Linked DNA regions of Drosophila melanogaster. The protein of the gene in region 2 interacts with the protein of the main gene of each other region in a pairwise test. Each region holds a gene or a part of one and is shown on either strand. Other genes may lie near its edges.

The links.
Region 1: the proteins of CG13445 (region 2) and CG13707 interact in a two-hybrid assay, tested with the Drosophila melanogaster proteins (one large-scale study listed by BioGRID).
Region 3: the proteins of CG13445 (region 2) and CG34273 interact in a two-hybrid assay, tested with the Drosophila melanogaster proteins (one large-scale study listed by BioGRID).
Region 4: the proteins of CG13445 (region 2) and glec interact in a two-hybrid assay, tested with the Drosophila melanogaster proteins (one large-scale study listed by BioGRID).

What each region holds. Positions count from the first base shown.
Region 1 is NT_037436.4:4,836,153-4,844,244, reverse strand, and holds CG13707 (uncharacterized protein), read left to right. Parts: upstream 1-4,136; 5' UTR 4,137-4,344; coding exon 4,345-4,467; exon of another isoform or gene 4,468-5,321; intron 5,322-5,406; exon of another isoform or gene 5,407-5,682; intron 5,683-5,797; coding exon 5,798-6,166; 3' UTR 6,167-6,454; downstream 6,455-8,092.
Region 2 is NT_037436.4:15,806,205-15,812,338, forward strand, and holds CG13445 (uncharacterized protein), read left to right. Parts: upstream 1-3,280; 5' UTR 3,281-3,293; coding exon 3,294-3,327; intron 3,328-3,389; coding exon 3,390-3,679; 3' UTR 3,680-3,773; downstream 3,774-6,134. Other genes in the region: CG6244 (uncharacterized protein), read left to right, coding at 2,214-2,329, 2,383-2,515; fwe (flower), read right to left, coding at 4,500-4,644.
Region 3 is NT_033777.3:14,511,722-14,517,987, forward strand, and holds CG34273 (uncharacterized protein), read left to right. Parts: upstream 1-5,320; 5' UTR 5,321-5,331; coding exon 5,332-5,718; 3' UTR 5,719-5,766; downstream 5,767-6,266. Other genes in the region: mRpL11 (mitochondrial ribosomal protein L11), read left to right, coding at 203-337, 398-682, 743-913; CG8461 (uncharacterized protein), read right to left, coding at 976-1,106, 1,162-1,699, 1,761-1,826; Pde6 (phosphodiesterase 6), read right to left, coding at 3,910-4,531, 4,589-4,748, 4,885-5,038, 5,834-6,157, 6,224-6,266.
Region 4 is NT_033777.3:21,848,173-21,859,461, reverse strand, and holds glec (gliolectin), read left to right. Parts: upstream 1-3,195; 5' UTR 3,196-3,542; coding exon 3,543-4,062; intron 4,063-7,585; coding exon 7,586-7,752; 3' UTR 7,753-8,768; downstream 8,769-11,289. UniProt on the Drosophila melanogaster protein: Has a role in intercellular carbohydrate-mediated cell adhesion.

The DNA.
Region 1 (8,092 bases), about 11 Mb from region 2:
GAGAGGTAAAAACATTTTATGATGCTGTATACCCTGGAGAATTAAATGCAAGTACTTGCATGGATATATGGCTTAAAACAGTTATATGCTGCTAAAACAAATCTTTTCTCAAGAAACGAGAATGAAAATGTGACAAATAATATATGTTTCTTTAAAGCCAGAATAGATTTTAAAAAGACCCTGGCACATTATAAAGCCATTACCAAAATGTTTAACACCATAGTTTCACACAATTATACCATTGTTTTAAAAGCTCTAGAGATGTTGAAAACACACACTTGTTCACCTTGACTTCTGCCCCCAATTCGCAGAGTGCTCTTGGGCTTAGAGTGAAAAGCCGCTGTCAGACGGATGACCCATGTGACCCCCGTCCAGCTCCCAGGTTTTCCCTTCCGGGGGTTGCAGACGCCATTTTAAATGCTGCACAAAAAACGCTTAGAGCACTTTGCTGGCAAATACATAATTAAGTTATTAGGACAACAGCGAAAGCACTGCAAGCTAACGAAATTATCTAAGCAGAGGCCAGGGGAAGCGGATGCGGCTGCCAGCAGGGGATGACGGGGCGGGATTGCAATGCTCCGGGAGCAGGGGATGGAAGGACCAACCAGGGGCAAGGTTAGCAGCCCGGGCATCCTGTCTGGCCAACCACCAACGGGCACGCGACGGATCAGGACGAAGGACGAAGGGAAATCTGGCGAGCGGTGCGTGCAACAAATTCGTTAACCGTTTGCCAACCAACGCTCAACCCAAAGGCAAAAACGCAGCCGGCGGCTTAATCGAGATACACTAGAAAAATATATTCAATCATTGGTAGAAATTTGCATGCTTTGTGCAATTAAATTAAAATTCCTAAATTTCTTATTTAAAAAAATATATATCTCTATAGATTATAGATATAGATTATTGTTAATTTCTTTTTAACGTGTCGAAAAGAATTGCTGATAAATGTGAAATAATTATAGTTCTCTTAATTTAATTTGATGTTCCCTTACTTTTTTTCCTCAGCAACTTTGCTCTTCATTTTTCCTCAGTATGGCTGACAAAAGTTGAGGAGTTATATTTCCTATGGGCGGTAACTGGGACCGCCCCTTTATGCACACACACACACACACACACAGTCGCAGAACTGGCGGCGATTGCTCAGACGTTATAATTTGTAATCACGCTGAGTGCAGCGGCGGCCCGAAAACCAGGAGGGGATGCTACGCGCTCGACCAGGACGATATGGCAACCAGGACGAGGCCAGGATGAGGATGTGGGTATGGATGTGCATGGGATGGGCATCCAGCAAGTGGTTGTTGACTGCCGGATGCTTAGCAAGGTCTTAGCTGTTATTACGCTCATGTGTCACTTTTGCAGGACCAAATGCGTGTGTCTGCATCCTCTCGCCGTCTCTTTCGCTCCATTTTCATCTGTCCATGTGTGTGCTCATATTTTATTCAGCATGCGGTGGTTATCCAAATGCTGCGCTCTCGCTCGCACTCGCTGGCCACTCTGGATTTTTTTGACGTCTGCAGACATTTTGCCAAGTTAATCTCCGGTTTGTTTTCCTGATAATGGGTTTGTCAACGGTACTTTGTGATGCCCTCTCTTTCTGTCTGACTGTCTATCTGCCCCGACAGTAAGAGTGTGTGTGTGTGTGTTTGTGAGTATATCTATATTAATATTTGCATAAATGCAGTTGTAGTCGTGAGTGAGCTTTCTCCTTTTTTCACTGTCTGTCTGATGGACTTTGGTCCTTGTTTTTCGGCTTCGTATTTACCCTGTCAAGTGGTAAAACAAGTGAGAGTGATAAGAAGGGTTACTAAAATTGGGCGGCTGGTGAATACCCTCGTATAATGTTTTAAGCTAGAACTATTTTTCAATACAAAAGTTATAAGGTAAGGATAATTAAATATGTTTAAAGGAATGGATGAAACATGCTGGCAATTTCTGTGGCCTGATGTCAAATATACCCTTCCTCACTCTCTTCCTTAGGAATACCTAACACAGCGGTGCCCTAAAATGGTGTTGCATAGCAGCCACGCCCACAAGTTATAACTTGGTTCCGCCCCCAAATAAATCAAGCGGCTGTTGCAATTTTCTCGCAACTCCAAAGAGGGATATGCGTGATGTGGACGTGGGCGACTTCTCGTGCGGTTCAATCAGCTGCAATCTGCTTCGTCAGGATCAGCATCACCACTGGACCACATGCTGGTGACAAGGGCAGATCCACATCCAAGGTCTGGACGGAACACCTGTGTCGACTGGGAGCTGAATCCCTCACAGGTGTCCTGGCCAAAACACGCTCTGCCTGCTGATGGCTGATTCTGACAAGCTCAATTAGGGCGGGAGCACTCTAACCGGATTGAAATCCGGATTGCGATTGGGTGGCGGTAGTCCGAGAACACTGTTTTCGGATATAATGGGGCAAAAAAGAAACCGTTTAAATTAATTGCAGTTTTAAGCAGATTGAAAGTTGTTAAACAGCGAGCCAACGAGCTTACAGTCCGCAGTTGGCTTCGAAGTTTTCCCACCCGCTGCACGCACATTGCACCGCACGCACACACACTGCGCTTAAGATGATAATCATGTTTACGTGGCGTAAGTTAAATTGCTAACGTAATGGACTAACAGCAGGTGAGGACGACTCGAGGATAGAAGGATTCACGGAGCAGGATCTGGTTCTGGGAACTCGAAGTGCATTGCGAAAAATGTATCCTGAATTAGTTTAGTTCGAATTGAAAATATGATATGCTTCACTTAAACTGTTAGGTAACTAAATTTAAATCGCAATAAAATATTTTAGAAAAATTATTACTATTACTTATATTTTATCCGCATTTTCTTGCAGTGCTCGAGCTGTTCTGGAGCAGTTCAGGTAGCTCATGCGTGCGCCGCTGTCAGCGGCACATTTTGGGCTCTTTCAAGTGGCCAACAACCGGGATGGCCCAGAAAGAGACCATTTGCTTGGTCGTGCCACCGGTTGGGGCAGGGATTGAATTGGAAGCTGGAAGGACGACGGATCGCAACGCTTCTGTGTGGTGTGCGCTTCATTGGACAACTGAATATGCAAATTGAATTGAGCGTATTATCGACAAGAAGGAGGCGGAGGAGCGTCGGCGAGGAGGGCGTGGCCCTTGCAGGTGAGCAGCCTCGACTTGGCCATCAACATAATCGCTCAAGCCAAGGGCTTTGGACGGGATTGCTATGGCAATGGCGATGGCGATGGCTATGACGTTGCCGAGATGGAATCGGTGCCCAGTGGGCCAAGATGGTGGCAAATGGTGCACAAAATTAAAATTTTAATGGCTAACTGCTGATGCTTGTTTGGCTTTCAGCAGAATGGGTTGTGGAAGGGAACTTCGATAAGGATGGTGATGGGGATGAAGCTGGGCCAAAGAAAAGCACGATTAAAGCCAAGTCAACGAGCAGCTCTAAAATCATTGCGGCTTGCATATGAATACGGGAAATGCTGCATACTTCGTGGCTACATTGGGAACTCAAGTGTTGCATACTATTACGATGGAAAAAATAGGGGAAAGAATGGTTGCATAATAACATTGCCTGCTACTAGGATGGCTCATAAATCTTTAATGCCTGTCTCGCTCCGCTTTGGGATAAAACGCGAGATGATGGAACCTCTTAAAAAAGCCTGTGTTCCAAGGTTTTACCCCACTTCGTAGCGTTTTATATTTTATGTCTAGTCCAAACCAAAAATTTAAAATAAGTAATGCCAATGTCAAAGACAAAAATGAATGTTTGTGGCTTCAAAATATATGTTCCATCGAATAAATTGTACAGCTGATATTTCGTTTTTCTATTGGTACCCTTCACCACCAAACACCGGAGACACCTCACTGGCCAGACACCACGGACCCAACGGACACAACGCACAGCCGGAAGCCAAATCCCGGGCTCCGAACCCTGGTACGTGGTCCGTGGTGCGGGATCCGTGGTTGTGGCCGCCGATTTTGAGATGTTTTTGAGTGGCTATGAGAAGTGGAACTGCACCAATTGTTCCTGCACTGCGAGTGTGTGTATGGGTATTGGTTGAGTGTGTGCCCACACAGATATACTCACACACTCAAGTGCCCGGCTGATTGACGCACGTAAACAATTTACTCATTGAAAGAAGAGGCTTCAGTCAACGGCGAGCGCTGTTCGCGAGCGGAATTCCGCGGCAACATGTAGAGCAGCAACAAAGGCAGCGAACGAAAAACTACAGAAAATAAATAAAAGGAAAACAACAAACACGAATTAGTGCTATATGTAAAAGTCCAAAAAACCACCCGAAAATTGGACAAGTGTCGCCGGCGGTGGGCAATCAAAAAATAAAACATTCAGGGCATCACAGATGCCGCGATGACGGAGCCAATTAGTGCGGCGGTGCAGCGGCGGAGGCAACTGCTCCGCAGCGTGGAAAGTTTGCGCGGTCGTGTTCGTCAAGTGCTAAAATGTGTTATTAATCTGCATATTGAGTTTTTGGTAATTGATCGACGAACCTCTTCCCTTTCTTTCCCTGTCCAAATTGTTTTTACCACACAAGCGTAATCCACTTGGCCGCAGAGTTACACTTTTGTTGCTGGTTTAAAGTGTTGCAAACACATTGACAGATTCTATATCTGGTATATATGTACAACTGTGCCTCTGTCTGTATAATCTCCTTCTTATCTGGCCTTTGTGCCACTTCTGTTATCGCTCCATCACTTTCGAAATATTATCTGTGCTTTCACAAACAATTCTGTTCATTTCGGCTTTCATTCTAAAAATAGCTCTTTTATTTGGATACAAAAATTAAATTGTAATGCATTAAGTAAGCTAGTAGCAGTAAAATTATCTTACCATTTTTACTAAATGCCGTCTTCAACTAGTCGTATACGTAATCTTCATAAAAGTAACGTCACATTTTTGCATGCTTTTCTTAATGAAAGCTTGTCAACAAACTCTTAGCATTTAGCTTAACAATGGTCAACCGACTATATCTCTTAACCCCTTTTAGCCATTGTAATTTGTTATCGCTATTTCTGCTGCCATTTCACCTGCTATCACCTGTTGTTCAACAATGCGCGACCGGCAACTCTGTTAACAGCTGCAGCAGCGATTTGGAACATGTTAATGCAATTATAGCCAGTTATTGGGAACGAAATGTTAGAATGTTGGACGGGTCAGAGAGGGTTGGGGGTGCGACGTGGGGGTAGTTGGGGACTGCAGTGATTACTAGCACCGCTAATTAGACAATGTCGGTTCGGCCATAGGCAAACGAACGGTTTCGCAATGCATGGCACAGTCATGGCCAGATGAATAAGTATAAAGTTATTTCCGCACAGGATGATTACCCGGTATTAATTGTCTAACTAAATATACAATCCAACTTCCCTAACTATTGTATTTTAACTACAATACATGGATAAACTATTTTTACAGCTTCTTCGTTTGATTTTAACTTTTGATAACTACCTTTTTGGTGTAGAGTGTTTGGGGTAGGGTTTACTTTTCACCCCTTCGAAACATGCACCCAACATGAGCTTAGTTGGCCGTGTTCCTAGGCTTGGCTAATTTGGCACTAATAGAGACGCTAGTGACGAGGCCTTTGGAAAGATATTAGAGCTGAAATCCGAGCCAACATCGCCGAATGAATGGCGCGAATAAGGGGGTCCGGAATGGCGACCTGGATGGGTGGATAGCTCAGCCGGCGGGAAAGTAAGGCTATCACTGACCGTAACGCCGTCACTGTCATTGTGTCATTGGATACCGCAGTGCAAATCGAGCAAAATAAGCGATTTCCCGCTAATCCAATTTCCACCTCACCTCGCAGGTGCTCGAATCCGATGTGGCAGCTTTGCTGGATGAGGTGCGCGAATTCAACGACGACCACGAGGAGATGCAGCGCCTGGACAGGATGATCGAGGCTCTGCGGGACTATAGCGGACCCACGATATGCCACGAGTGGCCCTATCCCCTTATCTTCAAAGGCACAATCGACGAGGCACATGTCGCACAAATACTCAATGCCAGCGAACTGGATTTGGATACGAAGTTGGTCAAGGTGTCCGGCGGAAGGAACTGCATCCATGTGGAATCCGATGTGGTCACAGCTCAAAGGCGCTCCAGATTGCTGTGGTTCTCCAGAAGAAGCAGGGGGAAACGAGCTGAGCGCTTAAAGGAACCTAATCCTGTAGTTTGAGCTTAGCTCTGAGATTGAAACTAGTCCGAAATGCATATGAACAAAGTATTGTAGCCCAAGCTATAATCTGCCATTACAAAAGAGCCGAACATATTTGAGTATAGTATAATTAAGAAAGACTGCGCTGAGATGTCATTAACCTCCTTTAATTGCAAATTATAAATTGACATCCTTAAGCACATAATTTTTGAAGAAGCATGACATGTTAAAAAAAAATATTTGAAATATCATATTCCATCTAAGTTAAGAACCTTGTGTGATTAATAAAACGATTTCACTTGAAAGTATATTTTCATTAAGCCAATTATTTAATTATCCCAACCGTCTCTCTAACTAAATACATCAGGGTAGCCATTAAATGACATACTTGGTTGGTAAATTGTTCATTTCTGGTTGTTTCATTTACTGCGGTCGCCTGCGAAGACAAAATTTCGATATTAGTCCCCACCGCAAACATCTTGTATTCATGATATTTGCGGTGGGGATGTACATTGATTTTGACAGAAAGCACATCGGCACAGCGGCAAATATCTGAGGTGAATATGACATTCGGGGATTCCCCGCTCCCAAATTGTAGTTTCCGTTTTCCACTGGTCAGCCGCAACAAGTTACCGCACCTAATTAAAACGATTTCACACGCAGCTTCTTAAAGGCTCGAAAGCAAAAGTGCAAACAACAAGTGCTTTTATGCGATGTTTTTATATTATACGCTGGCGCAGCTATATTAATTATAAATAAAACCAAAAGAGACAGGTCCAGAAACAATAATAAAACGCGTTTCACTTCCCATCAGCGAATGTGTGTGCGTATGTGGGTAAATTATTCATAACGGTATTATCAGCTTTTCTGCGCTCTGCTGTCTGATTAAATTGCTCGACCATCGCCGGGAAAAGTCCAAGGATGCCCGGGATGCTGGGTGAGTGGATAAGGTTGCGGGTTGGGCGAAAGTGGTGGACAGTTGGCAAGCTTTTCATGGGCACACGGGATCTACAGTGGATGGTAAAGTCTGGAATAGAATTACAAATAATATAAATAATTACTTGTATATGATAAGTGCTTCTTTTTCTATAAAACAATATAACTTTTTTAAATCAATTTAATATGTACTAATATGATAAATATCATTGGCCTTAGTTAAACTTATTGTAATGACTCAGACTGTGCCTAATAAGCGAGGTGTCCGTTTCTGTGTGGGTGTCCGTAAGCTGGCGCATTCTTTGTCTCTGTGTTGTGCGCGCAATTTATCAACTCGACCGGCTATCTTTGTCGCCCGTGTGCTGTCCTTGTCTCTCCCATGTTCCATGTTCTCTGACCCACACCCTCCCCCACCACCCCTTCGTCTGACCCATTCGGCCTGTGGTCAGGGACAATTGCAGCAGAGCGCTGTAATTATTAAAAAGTAAATAACAACAGCCACCGCACAGCGACAGCAGCAACAATCGCGATAATGAGCACAAGTGCAACAATGCACTTAGAACAATATCATTTTAAATGATAGCGATTAGGTAAATTGTCAATGGTAGACTAACTAAATCCGTATAACTAACCTCTGGTCTGTTTAATAAGCAACTTTATTGAATCGATAGGTTCTGTTTTTAGACCTATATTTCCTCCCGCCTATATTTTTCTGCAAGTGCATTCCAATGAAAACAAAAGTGAAATCGTTGCAGAAGATTGTCGCAGGGACAAAGGAAAGGCCAAAGGTTGAACTCTGCACTATCGAGCGCTGCTTTCCGCTCGATTCCCACTGCGCTCTTTATCTAGAGCAGCGGCAGGACAGTGAGCGTGGTCATTTTCCATTTTCGCCGCGCGAAAGCCTGCAAAATTAATGGCCAACAAGGACGTCAATGGCGGTGGAAGCACTGGCGGCCACAGCATCAGTAAACAGCGCTCAGAATAACAGTCGGTGCAGCGGGACGGACAGGA
Region 2 (6,134 bases):
CTCGTAATTTGATTTTGATTTGGGAATTTTAATTAATAATCATGTTTTTCGGGGGGAAACGCTTTGAATTTTTGATGAAATATGGTTATGAATGCGCTGCGTGTGCCACGAACATGTAAATGGAACCGAAATAAAAATATTAATTGGATGGGGACACCTAAAGAGGCACCAAACAATATAATAATAATTTCATGGCTTTTAGAACATCTAATTGGCCGAACAGAAATTTTATGCTCTATCCAGCTTTTAAATTGTTTTAATTCTATATAGAGTATTTTTGGAATTCGCTCAGGTGTGCATTTCATTGGATTAGATATTATTAAGATCAGGTACCTATTAAAATTATTGTTCAATATCAAATTGGTTTTTTAGAATATTATATATTATAGAATTTAACATTTTTTCCTTTAATAGTTTTTTGACAAATATATATTTTATAAATAATATGGGATATACTACAAACCAAAGAACACCTTACAATGCCCGATTAGTTCTGAAATTCTTTTCCAAAAACTTTTCTTTCGAACTCCATTGTCGTCGACTTGAAAGCGGAACGCGTGTATTGCATTACCGGCAATAATAATGGAAAAAGGGAGGAAAATCTCAATTAGTGTGCACTCGAGAGCGTCCTGAAAGGAGCAGAAGACCAGAAGCTGAGTAGGAAATTTGCAAAAAAGATCAATTTTCCAGCGAAACGGAAAGCCGGAGTGCACATTTTAACAGGATAAGATGCGTTTAAGCAAATGAACGGACAAAAAGGACAAAGGACGTGAGTCCTGGCCGGACCCATTGAAGTTGCAGCCGAACAACAAAGCGAAATGGTCAAGCCACAAAAGGCAAACGGTGCTGAGCAGCTGGCCAAGATGTGAGCAGTGGAGATAAGCCAAGAGAAAGAACAAAAAAAGGAGCAGCAGATCCTAAACACAATGGCATTTGGCAGAAAGGAGGGGTAAAAGCGGAAGCAAAGTCTTAAGACTTTTACTCGCTGCTCGATTTGAAAAATCTCGAATTAATCCCATTTGGCGGAAAACATAACCAGTAAGGCAGGCAGGCAGTATCGAAAAGCATGGCGAATGGAATAAATGCCGCTAAAAAACAGATGGGCATCCTGCAAGGATGCGGCATCCTGCTGCCAACTTTAGTACAAATTTCATGCTGGCTTTGCGCACAGAACGTCGACTCTCTCAACTCGCCGACAGCGTTTTGGCAAGAACTGTTGACACATTCAGCTGTCCTTTGATGTCCTGGTGCTAATATGGTAAGCAGCAGGCATCCCGAAAAACCGGACCATCTCACAATTCACGCTGCGAGCAGAGAAATCCCTTAACACTCCAAACAGATTTGGCTGTCATCGCACAGTTTTGTCCTGCGGCGCTTTAGCCAGAGCAAATTCGGTATGTTGAAAGCGCTTCACTGCGTTATTCCTTGGCTATGCGATGTGGGAACATGTCCATATCTGTTGTCGTTTCATCGGAAATCTACTCTCTGCCCAAACACTTGACCCACATCTTTGGGCACCGAATTACCTATTTTGCCTGCTCAATCGAATTGCGTAATCGATACTTTGCCCCAAAAGCAGGCTCACGATCGATTGCTGAGATACAATGGCGGCGACAAAGGGATTTTCTGCTACATTGAGTTACGTAAAAGGAGGGATCCCAAGGTATTTCTTAAAAGGATCTCTAGACAGATGCTCAACTTATGTGGGCTCAATCAATTGAAGATCCTCGCTATCCAAACGGATCAATATCAACATTGAAATTATTCAACTGGAAACCCCACACAAAAACAGAGAAGCGGCAAAGGAGTATTAAACAGATTATTACAAATCAGTGAGTTCACATTAGGATGTTTTTAGTTTTGAACGGATATAATTTTAAAATTATATTTATATAAATTCCCAAAAGTATTATTATCTTATTACGTATTTTAAAATGTATTATTATTATATATTACGTGTAATAAAATCATTATTACGCTTTTTGAGTATGGAATTAAAAACATCAAATAAATGATTTATATCTCCGTTGATTTTTTACAACCTAGCTAAACAGCTTTTTTCTAGCTAAAATGTAATCATAATAAAAGAACCCGCAGTAACGACTGTCAAAAATATAATTTGACGAAAGTGGAGTCAGAAGTGTGCAAGAGCATATTAATTAAAAAATTGCAATTAAAATATTAAAATATATCGTATCTTCTGATCTTCTGCCATGGGTCGTCGCAAGTCCAAACGCAAAGGAGCCCCAAGAAAGAAAAATATTCAGCCGCTGCCCATTCTTTTCGATTGTCCATTCTGCAATCACAAGCAGTCATGTGAAGCGAAACTGTGAGTAGGAATCAAAATTTGGTTTTACTCCGCTAATTTCATAGTATTCATAGAGATAAGGCGAAAAAAATAGGAAGAATTACCTGTACCGTGTGCCAAGAATTTTTTCAAACACATATAAACTATCTCACGGAGGCAATTGATGTGTTCAACGATTGGATTGATGCTTGCGAGGAGGAGAACTAACCATTTACACTTTTTAATACGCTTTAAAAGCATGTGAAAACACTTTGAAAACTTATAAGCAGAAAGCCTTAAGCAAACTGCTCTTATACTTCAAATATACACGGAATTCTACTTATACGCGTGTATTATACAAAATATTTTACATACATACGTTTCTGCTGCATACTTTTGAGCTGTGACCTTACATTTTATATAACTAAAATTAAATGAATAAAAAACAAATCACAATATTAAAACTAGTTAGGATCATAAATAGTTTTTGCTACAAAATAAGCTTTCAGTTTTGGAAAATGTACTTATATTTCCAAAATTCTACCCTTTTAAATGAAAAGCATGACTGTAATTAAAATGTCTATAATATTTGTTTTTTTTTTCTAAAAAAAACACTCATTTACCGATTTAGAAGGCATGTGTGTGGATTTGTATGGACCTTTATATTAATATTAAGTATATTCAATTAGTGTATCTCTAAGATATTTTACTGCCACCTAATTTGCAACCCAATTTACAGCATTGAAGCGTGGTTCTAACAACACAAATCACCCAGCAAACCCCGAAAGCTCTGACCTTGATCGCTCAAACTCAATAGCTATGCTAATATTTTGTTAGTTGTTTCTATGTAGAATTTTGGGGCATTTCGTTGATCTTGGGGTAGTCAAACACAGTCTGCTGGGTCAGAGACGATTCGCAAGGCACTTGCCAAAATTTTAGTATATAAGCCGAAGCCAAAAGCTCACTCAGCATCGAAAGCATCTCAAGCTACAATCAATCATCAAATATGCAGTCTAACAAGGTTTTCTTCGTGTTCTTTGGTGAGTTAGGAAAAGGAAGCCGACGAAAAGGATACCAAATCATCCAAGTCTATCCAATTTAGGTATCATCGCCATGGTGATCGCCGCCAGTCTCTCCTCGGATGTTGTGGACAAGGGTGATGATGTGATCAGCGATCGTCGTTTCCGTTGGGAATTCTCGCAGGACTCGGATGAGTCTGCCAACGACTTGCAGGAGGATGATGATGATGATGACGATGCCGCGGATGATGACAGCGGCAGTGCATCCGAAGAAATTTTGATCATCGAGTATCCTGAAGGCTACGAAAGCGGCTCCAATGAAAGCGCCTCCGATGAAAGCGTCTCCGATGAAAGCGCCTCCAATGAATCTTAATCATTTAGTTAACAGTTTTTGTAATTTTTGTTTTTATAAATAGTATTTGTTGTTATGGCGAAAAGTTTTAAAATTATACGATATTTGTGAGCGTAATCTGATTTTTTATTTCCCCCAAAAGATACCGCAGCTCAGGAATCATCCAAAAAGCATGCCCCACAATAGTTACATTTTAGCGATGATTACAACGATGATTTGTATAATTAATTTTATTTAACATAATTTAAAGTATCTTTAATTCAATTTTAATATGGTTTACATACAATATTTATAGTGTTATTTGCATTAATTTAAACATTTTAGTATTATGCATTTAAATATATTTAAGGTATATTTAAACTATGACTAAACATAAATTTTACATGATCTTTTTTTTCACCTCGCTAGTGATGTCGTTCAATAATTTATTTGCAATTTCTACTTAGTTGAAACCAAATGTTTTGGAATGATGGGACACAGGCAACACAATTAATTAATAGGATACAGAAAACGCAAAACGCTTTTAAAACCAATATACATTTACATACATTTAATACAAAAATGGTTTAAAATTTAATGATCTTGTTTTGGGTGGCTTCTTTCTGATCGAGTAATTTGGATTGCTCTAGAAAGAGATCAGAGCTAATCGGATTTAAAAACTTTTGTTATCCATTTGCGTTGGTTATTGAACAATCAGAAATTGCACATGATTATGTTTATGATTGCCTGCCGATGTTCTCTTGGTTAGGTTTGCCCTTCAAATGTTGCGTTTTGAGTCTTGTTTTCTCACGGCACACCCAGCTCTTCGATTCCTCGAAATCCCGATCAGCTAGCTTCTGAATCACACATTGCTGTCCGTGCCCACGGCACCGGTGAAGGAGAAGGGCTGGGCGTTGTTCACAATCCCCGCTCGATCGTTGGTTTGGGCAGGTGTGTTTCCTCCGAAGGTTTGCTGAGCAGCTGCCCGCATGTCCTCGGCGGATGCTCTGTTGAAAAAGTAAAAGGATTACATTAGTCTTTAGAGTACAAAACATTGGCAAATGGTTTCCAAAATTATACAATTTACAAGTGCTCAACTAAAAACTGTGACTTTGCCTACATGAAACCAAAGGGTCGATAGAACAGCCAGATATTTCTAAAAGCTTTTCTAAGACAAACAAAAAAAAACTAAGGCAGCATGAATACAGTATACAAGTCTTACATAAATACCGGGAACTACAGGAACTAATCTAAATCAATTTCATTCTTCGTGTGCACAAGTAAATAAATACGTCATCAATCATTGACAAAATCTACGAAAAATATACAATTTACAATCGTTAGCAATTACAAAAAGGAAAGCTCAAAATGTATTTGCCTGTAGTGATCTCTTGGACGCAGCAAAGTTCAGAACTCGTTAACGTAAATCGTATATTGTTGTTAATCGCTGTTGGCCGTCGTTGAATGTACTTGGCTTTAACGGCAGGATTTTGGACAGTTTTCAGGTGGCATGTACAAAGTGTTTGATATTTGAATCATGCGCGTTCAAATTCTAACGAAATATTTTACATGTTTATGTTTTCATTTTTAGTGTTGCGTTCATTGATTAACAAAGTTCAACAAATTAATTATGATTCGTGATTACTTTAGGTGAGACTCTTAGTTGCTGGCGAAGGCTAAATTGTAATAAATTATCGCGAGTTTCTTGTAAATAATGTATATTTAAAGTTATAATAATTAAACTATACAATAACTTATGCGTAAAGTAAACAGATTTTGGAATGCTTCTGTGGTAAGAATGCCAATAGGCAACAACAAAAATAATTTAAAACGTTTTTCTCAGACTTTCAAAGTTAAACGATTGGAATAAACTCTTATAAATAACTTAGGTATACTAAAAAAAATAAGCATATACTTCTAGCAAACAAGAAATCATACGAAACCCGAAAACGAAATCCTATTAACCAAGTAATTGTCTAAAAAGAAAACCGTCTAACAATGCATCAAATTGAAATGGACACTTTTCGGTTACAACATTTAAAAAATATAACTGGTAAATTCTCAACTTGTTGTATATATATATATATATATATATTCTATCTGTATGCTTGATTATGTTCAATTTCAAATTGTGACTATCCCGCGAGCAAATCGATTCTCAAATAACGTTTAACATTTAATTTTATGGTTTACATCGAAGCAAAGCATATAAAGTTAATTATTTCTGAGTTGTACATATTGCTCTAGGTTCTCGACATTCACTTGTCCATATCATCAGTGGCTTTCCATTAGCATTAGCTGTGTGTGAGTGTGTGGAAGCTGTGGTTAACTTATAGGTTCCGGTTCCTCTTGCATTCGGTTAGCTTTCAAATATAGTTTCTCACTAAAAATATATGCTTGCTGCAGAGTTTGACATGTGAGTTACGTTATTGTTATCAGTAGTTGTTCTATGCATATTATATATATTTAACTGTAGTTCTTAACAACACCAACCGCT
Region 3 (6,266 bases), on a different chromosome or scaffold from region 2:
TTGGATCTTTTAAACCATCATCTCATGTTTAATGTTGCTAAAGACCACATTCGGAAGTATGTTTTTAGCTATTCAGCTATACGTTCCAACTAGAAACGACAGCAATACCATCAGCTGTTGCTGCTTCTTCTTCCTTCCACCAACACATTTCGCTTTGCATAACAGTTTGAATCAATTGTTTAGTTAAAATAAATCAATTAAAATGTCGAAGGCAGCGGGTAAGCTGAAATCGCTAAAGAAGACGGTGGAACGTGTGACGCACACGAGCAAACTGAAGACGAATATACCTGCGGGAATGGCTGCTGCAGGTCCGCCATTGGGACCGATGTTGGGACAGGTGAGTTAGCCGGCTTTAAAACTAAAATATGTATATAATTTTGTTTTTAACCACACACAGAGAGCGATTAATATCGCCGCTTTCTGCAAGGACTTTAATGCCAAGACCGCGGAAATGAAAGAGGGCGTACCGCTGCCGTGCAGAATTTCCGTAAACAGCGATCGCAGCTACGACTTGGCCATCCACCATCCGCCGGCCACATTTTTCCTGAAGCAAGCGGCGGGCATACAAAGGGGCACCATGACTCCTGGCAAGGAGGTTGCCGGCATGATCACTCTCAAGCATTTGTACGAGATTGCAGCTATTAAGATTCAGGACCCGCCCAATGTACTTCTTACCATGCAGGTCGGTATTCCGAAAAGTTTGAGATATAACTTCGACTCAAGTTTATGCCTTGTCTCTTAGCAAATGTGTGAGATGCTCATCAGCATTGCTCGGACCTGTGGCATCAAAGTGGTCAGGGAAATAGATCCGGCGGCCTATGGCGAGTTCCTGGAGGAGCGCAAGTTAATTGTGGAACAGCAACGGCGCGAGTTGCAGGAGAAGCGGGAAGCAAAGATGTTGCGCACGGGCTAGATTTGCTTATTTGCACTGTGCTTTTAATTGTTTAAAATACATTTATACTTAAAGCGTAAGTCTTATTCTATACCAATGCGTTTGCGGTCCTTGGCGGCGTTCTTCTTGCGTCGCTTTTCCATGTGCTTGTTGAGTTTTCCAGTGTTTTTCAGCTTCTCGAATTGGGCAACTAGTTCCTTAGCTCGACGCTCCTCTGTCGGAAAAAAAAACAAATTAAAATTTGATTTCGCTGTCGATCAGAAACGTACTCTTTGTCAGATAATGAGGTTGTTGTCCCAAATCGTGTTTCTTCTGAATGGCGGAGCGCTCCTTTTTCAGTTGCTTCTGTTTGGTGTGCCACTTCTTGTCCTCCACATTTTTATTGATAAGTCGCTGCATGGTGTCCTTTATATGGTGCTTCTCCGCCTCATCCTCCACTTCGTCCAGTTTTTTCTTCAGCTGACCAACTTCCTTTGCTCGAATCTGGGAGACAAACTGGTAGTTCTTCTTGAAGGTTTCTGCACTATATGTTCCGGATTTTTCGTCAAATCTTGGATCTCTGAGTTCAACATTTTTTTTCCGCTCCACTCTGTGCTCGGCGCCCAAAAATGGAACCTGTCGTCTGGTGGTCATTTCACGAGGTCGGTTTTTGTTTAGCCGCTTGAGGTCGGTTTTGGCCTTTGGTTTTTGGGGTCTAGAACTCTTGCTACCGAGCACAGCCTCTTTGTACACCTTGGCGCCCAGCTCCTCTTTTAGTTTCATTATCTCCTCGAATGACATTCCTTTGAGATCTTCGCGAATGGCATTCTAAAACGAAGTTCTCGCATATGTAGTAAACCATATTTCTGTATAGTTGTATTACTTGTACCTGAGTTTCGTTGTCATCGCTAGCCTCGTGCTCAGAAGCTGAAGAGGATTCACTGGGAGAGGACATTTTTGTTTTAGTTTTCGTTTAAAATTTTATTTATTTACTTTTTAAGAAATTCACGTGTGATTGTTTGGGTTATAAACAGCTGACTGCTGGGCTCGATAACGATACGTTACGATAAGCGCTGCGATACACGTTAGCCAACACTGAACTTAGTTAACCGCTTTATTTGAATTTATAGTTCAAACTAAATATTTGCATGTTATACACTTAAGTTATTGTTTCCTTTTTTGATAATATAAAGTTACCCGTTTAAATAAAGAAACATTTTTTAGAGTAATTCTCAATGGTGTGATTTATTTTTGATTTAATTGCAATTCTTACATAGTAAGGTAAACAAACGTGAATCTTTTTTTTTTCAATCTAAGGAACAAAAACAAGCAACGAAATGACCAAGAAATATACACAATTAATACAATTGTCACAACTAAATCCAGAAATGGGTTTAGATCGGCTCGTAAAGTTGTCTGGATTTTGATTTTCAGGCGAGCGGCAGAGTAACTAGAAAAATAGTTGTAAAACTTGATTTTTGTTGACATTTTATAGTCAATTTTGATTAGCACACGCAGACCAATAAAAAATTAATCAAAATGCCCTTAAACACGTTAATTCTAAGCAATTCAGTTATAGATACATTAGTCAAATGTAAATATTTTATATAGGTTCCGTATATGTATAATTAGTTTATATTTATGCTCTATAGTATATAAGTAGTTTGCTTTGTACACGTACACACATTTAAAGTAAACTTGATTGCAACAACTAGGAGAGTGTGGGACCGGATTATTCATATTAACCGAGTGCGATTATATGCCAAATATCTATCGTATTCGCATTTTGCTTGAGTTCGAGTTCAAAAATTGACTGCTGTGTATCTTTAAGCTAATATTTATATTTATACAATCAAACACAGTACGAAAAGTATTATCCATTTATCTTCAATTGCTGCCTTATGTTCCATCTTTTTTTCGAGCGGTTCGATCAATCAATATTTGTGCTGTGCTCACAATCGTGTGGGAAATATCATATAATATTGCTATAGTTTGCTACGTAAATACACACCTCTGTGCATACAAATATATGTATATTAGTTAGCTATAAAGTAGATTTCAAGCCGATCACAGGCGAGGACTAGTAGTGATCCCTATCTGACTTCCTGATGCCCAATGCCCGATGCCTGGTATGTAGCCTCAAAATTCTTAACTAGGGGTTTCGTACACATAATAGTATCTCATACGTTTGTTTGACTAGCACGATTTTGGTTAGGGTAGCTACGTACACTCTTAGCTAGTTGGTTGGATTCCATCTACTTAGTTAATTAGTTTAGTTTCGCGGTTTTTAATCACCTAAAAGCGACAGACAGATAGTTAGATAGATAGGTCGATAGATAGATAGATAGATAGATAGATAGGGAGAGGATAGTATCCGACAAAGGTTCAACCCGAGGGCTTCGCACCTGCGGGACCGTAAATAGATCACATATTTTGACATTCACTTATGCTTAATATTGCAACTGCATTTGCTTCTGCCTAATGCTCATTCGCTTGTATATGGGTAGTTATAGTACTTAAAACATATATCAAACATGTACATATACTCCTGCCTTCGTTCTCGATTACGATTAGATTTGATGCGTTTCTTGTTAATGAAATTATACATGAGTTTCCAATTCTTCTGTTTCTATAATATGTTTCAATTAAAAGCACTTTTTCAAGTTTCTGAAGTTTGATAAATAACTTTTGTTTACAATAAAAATTTACATTTATATTTAATTTTGTAAAATAGGATAAAAGAGAATAAACTATTTTATCCCTGGTGTAGCAGGGACTTTAGTTTCAATGTCTTGACATCTAAAGCAAAAGTTATTTTATTGAAATACATAGTTTCACAAACAAAAACATTCAAACCAAACGAAATCGAGTACCAAATCCTGTAGTAGATGCAGGTGGAGCACAACAAGATTTTTAATGTGAGTTTTCAAAACTCCAAAATCCAATTAGAACTCGGTCATCCCCCCTCCGCACTTGTGGTCAGTCTCACTGCCCGTGGTGCTGGAGGGAGTCGCCATATTCTAATTGGACGGCTTTCGTCATAACAACGCGCACAGTTTGGAACGCTTTTTGGACTTGTCCACCATCTGGCCGCCGGCAGATGAGGTGGAGGACGAGGCGGACATGCGGCCCATGCTCCCGGAGGCCTGCGGCTGCGAAGGACTCGTAGGACTTTTGTCATCCATATCCTCGCTGACATGGGACTCAAGGAGCTTCAAGGAGGTCTTCGGCTTTGAGCCATCCATGCTGTTGTATAGAGTCTTTGATAGCTTCGATCGAACTGCCTTGCCCAGGGCTCCGGTCTTCTTCATGCTCAATCTGGAGCCACTTCGCTGGTGCTCCGGCGTGTGGCTATCCTCGCTGCCATGCTGAGATTGCTGATTGCAATTTAGCGTGGTCACAGTGAACTCGATATCCTTGATTTCTTCATCCGCACACGCGGCAAACTCCTCCACGGGTTTGTCAATCGTATCGTGATCGATCCATGTGAGGCCCATTTCCACTTTCTCGGCCAGATCCTGCCAGTTGCGTCGGTTCTCCAAGGTTCCTTCATAGAGCGGAGTGATCCAGGGAAAGGTGTCGCAAAGCACTCTGTAGAGTGGTAGACAGATCACGTCGATAAAGCCCACCTGCATCTTGGGTAGCTCGTCCTTGCGCTCCCTAATAATAATTAAACATTTTAAGCACATTTTTCTTGAGATTTTCCTAGTAAGTTACCTGTCCATCATGGCGACTGGTTGGGTGTTAAGCTGCAGCTTTTCGAGATCTCCTTGGTCAAAGAACTCATCGGCCACCAACTTGGCAACCTTGTGCTGAACCTCCCAGGGCTTGGCAATGGCACTCACATCGCAAGCAGTCATCATCATGCCACAAAGCACTAAGATCAATTGAAATAAGGTATTTTGTTAAGGGTTTAATTATAAGAAATACAAGAATAAATCTTAAAGCTAAGCCAAACTTCAAAAATGGGTAAAAAATTGTTAACACTGGGATCAGCATTTATTTGGACTCACAATCTTTCTTCTCCTCGCCCTGCCAATCGAATTCCCCATTTTCCACCAACTCTAGGAAAGCGTTCCTTTTCTTGAAATACATGGCCAGATCGGTGGACAGAATGGCGCTTTCCACGGTCTTCATGACTGAACGATAGTCCTCAGGTGACAAGGCCTAAAAAAAAAGCGAATATTAACATGTGCATTTGTTAATTCCGCTCCTAGTAGTTATTTCATACTCAACAACTTCTATTCAAAAACATCTGTGCCTATGACGTCACCGTACTACTAGACATGTGCTTAAAATAAAGTTCACTCCCTATTGAAGTCAAGGTTGAGTCAACTCGCAGATATTTTGTTAAACAAACATTTTTGGTGATTTGGGGGTCGCTACCTAATCTCAATTTCACTATAAAAGTTGTATTTTGCCAGCAGAAAGCATATCAGTTCTCAATAGAAACATCCAACATGAAGTTGTCCCTTGTTCTCTTCGTCCTCTCGATGGTTTTGTATGTGGCCCATGTCAGAGCTGCTGACAGCAGCACAAGCACGGAATCGAGTACCAGCACCACGGATAGCACCACCACGGAATCCACCACAGAGTCTACCACATCGTCGTCCTCTTCATCTAGTTCGGGCTCAAACAAGAAAATCGTGCGTCTCAGCAATCTGAAGTACTCGATCACCAGGAAAATCAGAGTTGGATCCACCACCAGTTCCTCGACCAGATCCAAAAGTTCCCGCGCCAAGTCCCGCAAGGCCCGTCTAAATGCGGCTAAACGATCCAAGAAGGCCGCCAACCGAAAACTCAACAAGAAGTCCAAGAACCGCAATGTACGCGTGGTCCGCGGTTAGGTTAGCCGCAATTATATTTTTAATAATAAATGGTTGAAATTTATACATAAATCATAATTGGCTTATATACTACTTATATACTACTACTATACTTATTAAAATGCTGTGCGCTTACCTGAAATATATTATTTCCCTCCGAATTGAGAATCATTACGCACTGATCGAAGTGATGGTGCTCCATCGTGCTAGTGGTGTACAAAATGGCCAGCGGGGACTCCGTTTTGGTCTGGAATGCATTGTTGGTGCCACGATGATCCAAGTCATGGCACAAACAGGCCACCAACAGACCCAGAATCTCCAGATCTGTCATAAAGCGCTCCATCTTTCCAGTTTTAAGCATGGCGAACATCGTTTGGGCCACGTTTAGAGCATGCCTCCAATTGTGATATTTAACAGGACGATAATTCTTGCGAACACTTAAAACCCAGCGGCAAAGTACCTACATATATAATATTATACAAAGAAATGGATTATATATTTATCATCTTTAAAGCAATTGACTTACATCATATGGTATCTGAAACTGCGAGACCAAATTGCACTGCATA
Region 4 (11,289 bases), on a different chromosome or scaffold from region 2:
CAGCAGCAGGTATTCGCACTCGTATGGGTATTCGCAACCGTGTGGCTCCGATGATGAGGGCAGCCGCATCCACATAGCCACATACATATCAACATCCACAGCAGCAGCCGCAGAAATTGGCGCAAAATTTACAGATGCCTCAAAAAATACAAAAAAAAAAAAAGAAAAGAAACAAAATGAATGGAAAATGGAAAGCAACTGCAGCGGCACAGGTCCCCATTTGTATGAGTGCGCGTTTGTGAGGCATTTCAAAGACGAGGAAAATCGCATGCCCCAAACTTCCTAAAGACAACCCTATCTTATGCATACATATAGATATATGTACATACATGTATCTCACCCCACCTAAATCACTTTAAATAGCGGGCTTGCTTCGACGATATACGGAAATAAATACATACATATGCATACATATATCAATACCGCAAATAAATTTCTAATCCCTGATTATGCTTGCTATCAAGACAGTTCAACGTAGCATTTGTCGACTAATTCGTAAACCCCATCCTCACTTTTTTATGACTCACTAAACCACAACGCACTGATTTCAACGAATTTAATTGTCTGCTTATATTCCATTGGAAATAACTAAGTTTGGCAAATCGAATTCTTTTAATTCTGAAGTTCAAAGTTTTTGGGCGCCATAATATATGCACAATTTGTGGCAGTGCAAACAAAGTATCTGCTAGATTTATTTCAAGCGACCGGATCTGCAGTTGTTGTTGCTGCCACGCGCGCCCATATTGCATATTGCACACACAGCAAGAACAAATGAAATGGAAAAGAAAACATCTGGCAGGGGGAGGAGAAAGCAGAAATGAGGGGACACAGCCCGGGCTACTACTTAATGAGTTCATTTATTAATTAGACGAACGTGACGTCAGCACGGACGGAAAACGACGAAAACCTCGGTGTATCTCAAACTCCCTGCGTTACGTTCCGACACTAAAACAGCAGTTAACCTTATGCGCAGCGCGTGCGACAGTTCCATTGATCGGTTGCGTTGGCTCCTGGGTTCATTCATTTCATTATCATTCAATGGTTTCTGACCTTTTGAGCCGGGGTTACATGGTACGTGGCCCATAAACTAATTTCTGCCAGCCAGTCGGCGGAAAACAGCTTGAGTTTTTCGCAGACAAGATGCGTGCGGCGGAAGTGACGACGGAAAAGTAGCCCATCAGTAGACCCAGACACGTACCCAGAAAACATCTGAAAGATACAAATATACGCGACGACATGCATTCGACAGTGAAAAATCAGCGCAGCTACGAGATATTAAAAAAAAAACAAAGCTGAATCGCAGTTGTTGAAATGGTAGAATGGAAATCTCTTTTGAAACTTTCACACATTTCCAACTGCATTGTTACCCTCTCGAGTGCCACGTCATTATGTGGATTTTTTGGCGCGAGGGTTGGTTTTTGCACAGACCTACTCTGACACGACCTGTGCCACCGATCCACCCGATCCGATCCGATCCTATCCCATCCCATCCCATCCGATCCTCAACCCCTCATTCACCTCGCGAGCAGGTAGTTGCCAATCCGAATTGGACATCGCGCCAAAAAATATATGAGGAAGGGATATCAATCTTCTATACAGTAATCTCCGGAAACGCGAAACTTTTACTAAGAGTTGCTGAGATTTATTTAGTTCGATACATGAAAGTAATAAGTGAATAATCTGCAGTAATATATCTAGGAATATATTCAATTGGTATCCCTTCTAGAAACAATACATTTGTTTGTAAAGCAGATACTACATATGAAGATGATAAGAAAGAAAAACATTTATTCATTCTGGCGAAAATTCTTATAAAAGCTTATAAAGCCAATACAGACACCATCTGTATCCCTTTGCGAGGGCCCACTGTACGCCTGAAAACAATAATAAATCGCAATCCTTTGGGCGCGTCCTTTGTCCGGGGCACTCTTTAAAATGACTAATCGGTCAAAGAGCCAGACGAAATGGGCCTGAAGACTCCTCCGATTCGAGGTAACACCAGCTGCGCCTCCTAACCAACCACCAGTGGAGTGGGGGCCAGTTTATCGGTTCGGCTGACTCAGCATTATTGAAATTGAAATGACTTGTGGTCCACATTATTTACTACTACCAATACCACTACTACAACCTACTACCTCTATTTCTATGCGGTTTTCACTTTCGTTTGTTCGAGATACGCTTGAATTGCCGCCGCAGGCGCGAAAGTTGTTTATGATTTTTTGTTGACTATTTTGAATTTTTCGTATTCCTGTCGCTGGCAATTTGTTCTAGCCACGTCTGGCCGCCAATTAGGCCGTTTAATGCCGCATGAAGCCCGACTCGACCTTGAGTTAGGGCCCAAAACGCGCTAACATATCAGTTAGTTAGCGTTTAGCTCAGTATTTGTGCGAGGTAAATAGCAACGAGCCAGCAGTCCCTAGCATAACTAATTGTATTTACACGGCCTATAATTGGCACACAAAAAACGGATTCACTTTCCGTAATTGTTACATGTAAATATCGTAAGTATAAGATGAGCAACTGCATTATTCTGAGCTAGGAATCTCTATTTGCATGGGATACATTTAATAGTGAGGTGTGGCATTGTGTTTGAGGTACTGCATGTTGGCATCTCAAATTGGGTGTTATGATGTCATCGATTTAATTTATAAACTACTTGGAATTCATCATATGTTTGCTTGCAATGCAATTCAGTTTGATGGCCAACCTTGAGTAAAAAAAAAAATACGAACTTGGAGATATGATATTTTTCTTAATTTTAAATTTCTAAAATTTCACTTCAATTCATTTGAACATCAAGGAAGTAAATGTAATTTATGACGTCATCTCAGTAGCCAGAGATGTTCCCTACTCGCGCCACCTCTCAAAACTGCTGCAGTTAAAAGTGCAATAGCGGTGCTAGGAAACAATTTTTATGGAAATAAACATATATTATAAGCATATTGAATATTATAGCTTCGATGTATAATTTTTGAAATATTTTCTAGATCACTTTCAAGTATGTTTTTCTGTGCATTTCACCCTAATGTTAATGATACCCAAATGTAAGAGAGCGTAAAAATGCTGAAGAGAGTCACGAAAGAGCGCAGAGTGACCGTTTCGGCGGGCCAAAAGCGAAAGTAAAGCGTTATCGATGCGGGAGCAACTGGTCACACTGCGCCATATAAGCTATATAACTTGCTGAATCCCTGGTCTCTGCGCGATTCAGTCTTTGACTCTCCACCAATTCGGTCGCTTGCGTTTGCTCCAGCTGCGTTCTTTTCGCTCTCTTTGGCTCGCGTGAAAGTCGTAAAGTTCAGCTAGCTCTCTACGATACAGAAAAAGAAACGCATACAACAAATTCGCCAGCGATAGAAAACCGATTTAAACTGCAATTGCAATGCCTAAAATGCGTACGTGAGTTTCGCGCAGTGATCGCTGTGAAAGTTCAAGTGAAAGCGGAAAGAAGAAACAAAGCGAGAATACTTCAAAAGCAATAAACCAAAAAGTGCAAAAATACCTAAAGTTTAAACAAAGAAAACAAGTTATACAAAACCATAGCCATGTTGTGTCCGCCAATGGCCCTGGGCCCATTTCTCGCCGCCCCCGTGCCACGCCCACCGCCCAGCGCATCGGAGAAGAAGAGAATCTGTCGGAACCTATTCAATAACGCTCCCGGGGACTCGAATATCGATCAGCTGTTGGCCCAGGAGCAGCACACGCAGAGATTATACGTTAAGGAACGCTACGGATATGACATCCAGCTGGAATCTAATCGGGATGCGGATGCGAATACGGATGCGGATGCTGATACGGATGCCCATTGTCAGGTCCTGCGCGGAATGCGGTATCCGACCTCAAGGACGATATCCAGCACCGATGCCGATGAGTGCAATCCAAAGGCAGTCAGCCAAGCGCCGAGGGGCATGGCCCTGACTCCCGCCCAGATCTCCGCCAGCGCAAAGCTGATCCTTCAGAAATGCCCGGAAAGCGATCGCAAAAAAAGCAACGGCAGTGCGGATTTGGCCAACTGCACGCGACATGGCCAAAAGCCATATGCGAGGCAGCCACAAGGCCTCAAAGGTAGGTTTTTTTTTTCCATGATTTGCATGTTTTTGTTTCACCTGAAACGCTGGGTGCTTGCTCAAAATATACGAATAATGATTACTCTTTGGTTCCAAGTTATTAAGTTTAATATACTTTCAAGTTATTGTTAAATTTTCCCAAAGAATCAGAGCAGAATCAGAATATAGTGAAATCTCTAAAATTAAAAAAGTCTCCTTCGAATTATCTCATACATTTCCTCGGTTTTTGTACGTATGTTCTATTTACTAAGATCCCATGTACTTCTTATATAGATGATCCAATAAGCAGACACCTGATTTTAGTTGCATTTTCCGTTGTTCCTTCCTCTTGCAGTCTCTGCTTTGTGCTCGTCCTTTGCCACAGTCGTCACCCTTATAAAATTCCTCCCCTTAGTTGAAAAAAAAAACCACCCTTATTTTCTGATTTTCCTAATTTCGTTTTTCCCCTTCTGCGTCGATTCTTATTGTCACTTCTTTCCTACCAGTTTTTATTCTCTTTATTTTGGCTAGTTTTTCCGATTCTTTGTTCGTTCATTCACGTGCGTAGGGATTTATCTCTTTGGTTACTCGAAAGTGAATTGGGATACATTTACATATCTGATGAATAACAGAAAACTCAAAAAAGTATTATTGTTTGGCCCCATTGCTTAATCGAATTCGAATAAATTTCTCTAATTTCAAATAATTTGAAATAATAAATGTATTCAAAATCATTGTATTATGAAATTTTAAAGATTCAGTACAAGTTTCTACGACTATTGCCTTAAGTTTTAGCAACAAGACAAGGGACTATTAATGCAGTCCATTGTTATCTAATAATAGATTTAAGATGAACGCTATTAAAAAAAACTTACCAGTTTGTTTATATTAAGCATCACTTATGGACGTTCGACTGTACCTTTAATTTTTGGCTTATTATTATTGCTTTACTTTACGCTGATATTCCGCCGATAGCGTGGCATTCAGTGAGAGAGGGAGAGCTGGGAAGAAAGAGAGCTGGTCTCCAGTTTGTCTTTGGTTTGGCAGTGTGTCAAAGCGAAAAAGCTAAACAAAAAATAAAAACTGTTGAATAACAATCGCGCGCCAAAAATCTTTCCATATTTTGCGAAAAGAGATTGCAGCTGAAAAGTGAATATGAGATGAGTAAAATGCAAAGGCAATTAATTGAGAGGCCTCAATTAAATTTAAATCAACGCCTTCTGGTTTTCTTGATTGTTGTTTTTATTCCTGCTGCAGTTTCGACACAGAAAAAAAAAATAAATAAAAAAACAAAAAATGAGCTACACAGACCTGCGACTGTACATGAGTTCACTGTAGTTGTGTTAGTTAGTTGAAAAGGCCGCACCCACAACGACAAACGCAATCTCAACCAGAGGAAAACCACAGCTCTTATACGACGACGTCATCCCACTTCCACACAAACGCACGCACACTTATGCATTATCAAAGAAAGACGAGAGAGTCAGAGTCGTCGCTCTCTCTCTCTCTCTCTCTCTCTGTTTGTCTGCTGGTTTTTGGCGCGAACTTATTATTTTCGTGTTTATTTTTAGTCGTCTTCGCTGATAAGCTTTCTGCGTGTGCGAGTGTGTGTGCGTTATTATGCGTAGTAGTAACTACGCACGCACGTTGATGATGTTTTTCAAAAACTCGTCGTGAAGGTCACACACACCAACGAACGCAATTCGCGTAAGTACAGCAGCGCCAAATGTTGTGTTTTGTTGTACTGTGTGGCAGGTCCAAAAACGGGTCGAAAAGCGAAGCGAACAAAAACAAATCAATTAGACAAAAGTTCTGTTATCTCGGCCTTTATTCCTATCTTGTTTATATTCTTTTTTGCTATGTTTTGATCACCACTGTACTTTTACCACCCAGTTGGCGCGCTATAGGAAATGCATACATATTCCTATGATATGATAATTCATATTACGGTATTTTGCATATTTTTACTAACAATTTACAGCATCTTCATTATCATTTGCATGTGTGGATTTTTTACCACGTAAATTAAGTTTTCTAAGCGGTCTATTTGACTTTCGTGATTATGTTTTGCTTGGCCTTCTTCGCCACGCCCCAAAAATGTGTGTGATATTCCCCTAAATTTATGTTTTCTAATTATGCATTCAGAAACTCTCTTTTGGGCTCCCACATAAATATTTATAATGTGAGTTCTTTGTTTTCATCGCCGCCTCTCTCTCTACACACATTTCGTAAACAAAACGCGTTTTTTTTTTGTTGTGCAAGATGGAGCGAGACAGAGCTAGTTGGAGCTTCGTGCTTATAATGATAACGGTAAACGCACTACCGCCCTCACACTCCCCCTTTCTCTTTCTCAACACCTGCTTTTTACAATGGACTTGATCGCTTTGCCGTTTTTCCTTCCTTTCTGCTTCTTCTCCTCTGTTTCGCTTGACGTTCTTTGTCGCTGGCTTATAATTTTCTATAACTGTACATTTGATTATATCGCCAGAAGCAGCGCGACTCTTTGGCTGCCAGCCATTTCCATTCTCTTTCTCGGGGGGCTTCGAGTTTAAGGAACACGTTTGTATCGTCCAGAAAGTAGGCTTATTTCACTTGTTGCGCTTTTCGTTCCACTTTAATGGATACATTTGGCATAGAATCTTAACTGTATGTATTTATCTTGACTTCGAAATGATAAGTTTGCTTCGTAATAGCAAGATACTTTCGTTGGAATTCATAGTTCTATAATTCTAAATGAAGCACCTACATGATTTTTTAATTATAATAGACAAATTACTTTGCGAGTGTGTTTAAGTATTCGGTTATGTAAGCTAGACTTGGGGCCTTCATGTTTTTGCTGTTGTTCAGCTTTCCAGCTTTTAGGTCACTGCGCAGTGTCTGCGGTTTGGTGAGCGTCTTTGTGCGATCGTGTAAGCTCTAGCGGTTTACGTGATGAGGCAACCGCAGCTGCCAAGCGATAGAGGTTTGATAGAAGTACAGTCGCAGCTCTCTAACTGAAACTGACATTTAGCTTTCAAAGAGGAATTTCTGAAATTTGAAATGACATTCTTTGTGACATTTTTTTTAGTACTCAAATAATAAATATATATTTGAGTAGTAAAAAATGATCATTGCAGGATTTGTTTATTTTTAGATGCTTAGATTGCTTAAAGATACACATTTTACTTTGACGTCATGAAACAATCTCACATGGATTCATAATGCAAGTCGAAGACGATCGACTGAACTTAATACACTCCAGACGACTGCATTCTGCCATTAGCACTTATCGCTGTGGCCATGACATTTAGTATATCGGCCAACGATGATCAGGTATAGGTTTACTTTACTGTACACTTGCACAAGTGTGCATAATTCCAGGGCGATAAGAAAGAAGAAAAAGCGAAACACCCACTGACACGTATGCAGTAGTAATGACGCTTGCACTTTTAATTTTACTTTCCCATTTCCCTTTTGCAGCCTGATTAGTCACAGTATTTTATTTAGCTATTTTACAATGCCAAATACTAAACGTTTACCCCCTTTTTTTCTTATCTCTTCAGGCATGTACAATGTTCGCAAGACCGTGAATGGTATTTCGAAACCCAACGTCAAGAATGGTTACAACAACAACAACAACAGCAGCAGCAGCAACAACAACAGCAACATGAATATTAATAATAAGATTGTGGATAATGGTACTAGCGAATTGGCAGATCAGAAGCAGTAACTTTGGATCAGAATGACGATGACAAATAGCCCCTGGCGGAGCAATAATTGCAATATATGATATTAATTGTAAATGTAATTTTAATTTCTAAAATAATTTGTTTATTTTTTTGTACCCCCGCCATACACAGATACTTTTGTGTATGGATTGTACGTTTGTTTTAAACCAAGACTTGACGGTCCAAAAATGTTGTTGCATAACAAATGATTAAGTGAATGGATAAAAGCCAACCAGAAACAACAACAAAAGCAACCCCAGAAAAGATCGGCGCGCGTGCACGGCCAAAAACAGGCAAAAAAAATATATGATTAATAATTAATAATAGTAATATATCCGGATGCATTGCGATATCGGTCTTATAATGGAAATTATTAAGTTAATGGATATGTGCTAATGTTAGACAAGCGATCGACAGCGCCATGCATCCACTATATATAGACTAAACCCCAACCCAAACCAATTCAAGCGTTCTCAGCGTGTTTTCGGGTCCAGATGCACGCGTGTGCCAAAAGTATTTACAATTTACTTTGTGTCATGATCTCAATTATTAAAAACAATTTTATTATTTTGTTTATCTAAATGTAATTATAATTGAAATTATTTAAAAATTCTTCTTAGCCCACAAACAAACACACACACACACCCTCGCCCCTCTCATTCACACACCACCCACGCACACTTTTACACACACGCACACACACACACTGTACTCATATTTATTGTATGTACATTATCGATGTGACATTTTAAATTGTATGTACTGTCTATGTATAAAAACTTCGTATCTATGGCAAAATTATTTCCCCTTTAAGAGACCCCCCCATTTTCGAAATTCTATTTTGAACAACCAAACTGTGTATATTGTACGGAGTGTAACCAAACTCCAAGCAGCTAAATGCGAAAAACCACAACAACAAATACTGTGCATATTTCCTTAAAAACTTTGTACGAAAGCAAGATGAAAAAAAAAAACTATTCTACTGTAACTCTCAAGCGGAGAGTAGCAGAAAAAAACCAAAACAAAAAAAAACTCTTAAAAATACAAATGTAAAACAAAAAAAAAAACATTTAAAAGCTTTTTATTTGCCTACATTGGCTTTGTTGTGGAGAGGGGGTGCCTTTTGGGCCGAGATGGCGTGATAATTCTCAACCGTAAAGAAAAGCGGAGAAAGATGGAAAGATTCATAAATGGATGGAATGAGTCAGCATTCGAGCCTCGAGCTGCGGATGCAACAGTTTCTCCATTAGACAAGGGCCGCTCCCGCACAGTGAACCCTCGATAATAAAGGAATTTTCGTAGCAGAAGTGGCGCCTAACGTTACCCTAGACGGCATGATGACTCCGCATTTATAGAACTGGTAAATATCTTCATCATTTTGAAGTGCAACCATATGATGGCTATTTATCTAAGCTACGAGTATGTATGATAACGTTTTTTTTTTTGGCCGAGTCCGCACTGTTCTAATTACATTCGATGCAGAGGTTTGGTATGCGTTCAGAAAGTGAAGTGGATCGGAAAGGAAGTGGAAGACCCATTCCAATTAGTGTGCTTTCCCATGTTCGCTTTCATCGCTAATCATCCGCAGCAATTTGAGAGACTTCACTGTGGGCACTCGTCGGTCTCTCAATGGGCGCACACATGTGCATATCGCCCGCGGCGGACATTTCGGAAAATGCTTTCTAGTCGTTATTTGTGTGCTATTCGTCGTACTAGTGATTGTTGTATCTACAATGTGTAGCTGTGGAGTGGAGTGGGCACTTAACATTAGATTGGCTGCGACTTCCGGCGAGCGAAACGATCGTTGGGCGTTTGATGATGATTGATGCTGGCCACCGTTCGCATTTACCCCATATTCATCCTCCTAATCAAACGGATGTGGATTTACAGAAAACAATTTGTTGATGTCTTAGAGCCTAAAAAAACAACTACATATTACATCTTAAGCAAGAGCATAGCAAATACAATAGATGCTAAAATTTCAAATTAGTTAGTTGGTTAGGTATAGCACTAGTTACAGACATATGTACATACATACACATTCTTCACAAAACCGACACATTAGTTTTAGTTACTAGCCAGTTGTTGCAATCTTTGCCATTTCAAGCATTTGGCACTGCTCTCTTGAGCGAATCAAGAATACAATATTCTATAATAATGGCACTGCTGGCAGAATGGAAAATTACATGGCCTGCATTTAGTAACAAGCATGTACAACATATTTGCCCACTTAACTAGCGGTCTGGTACGGTTATTAGCATGCAATTTCAAGATTTTAATGGCTCTGCACTCGCATTGCAATCACACACACACACACACACGCACTCGCATTCACGTAACGCAACAGAGCTCAGGCGTACAATCCCGGATACAGTAATAGCACACAAGGTGATATTAATAAACAGCGTCGATATAAATTTAAAATTTTCCAACCCAAATTCTTTTTTTTTCAATTTGCAAGAGAAGTATAGCTTTAAGGTTTATTTTTTATATCAATAGTGATAAATCTCCGCAATCAACATAAATTGAATGCACTCAGCGGAAGCACACGTTTATAATGAGAAATTATCACGAAATATAGTCACTAAGCGTTCGTATTTAAAACTAAAAAGATTCTGAAGAGTACCACAAATTTTTCGTTCGTAAGCTTTTAAATTGGTTTTTTAAGTCCTTAGGCCCTATTAATTTGCCCGCCATTGTGTACTACGAGTGTGTGTGCGGGAAAGAGAGAGCTAAAGGTGTTTGTACTCTCGCGTTGGCCGCAATTCGCGTTTTTTGTGCATTCGCCACGCAATAAATTCAAAGCTGCAAAGCAAAATTTATGACGTCGATTTGAGCTTGCCATCTCTTTCTGCCATAACGGTATAGTTGAACCAAAATGAATAACCAAATACAGGGTTTTCGTATATTGTCGTAAGAATTGTACATATCTCTATTTCTTCTTTGAATTCACATTTCATTTGGTTTTTGTACAGTGCGAAATCACAATAATTTATGGCACGACCAAACGGCGGAATTTAATTGCATTCCGTTCGCATTAATCACCATTAATGTCAGTGGCTGCATTCGAGTGGGGTGCAATGTCTGGAGGAAAAGCGTGAAAAGCGAGCCAAGGCCATCTGACAGCCTGTTAGTACATATGTACATATGTATGTATCTATGTGTATGCATGTGTATGAAATTGAAATCAATCAGCCCTGAAGTGAGTGCCCCTACTCCCTAGTGCCATCTCGCTCCCCCTCGCCAATCCCGCATGACGTGAGGTCAGCAAAGGCAAAAAAAAATGAGGAGCACAGTGGAGCTGACTCCATCGGCCAATGCTCTAATCTCCTGACCAACTTGTGGCTTCGCATCTTCTCCTTGGCCCCACTCGACTCGGATCATTGGTTATACACTTCCATTTAAAGGAATTATTGGTTATCTGATGTCTGTAGATTCGCTTTATCTATATCGTCTACATTAAATAATAGAACTTTCTAAAGTCTACATATCTATGTATATGGAGATCTCAGTTACATATCGATTCAACAATTCAATGA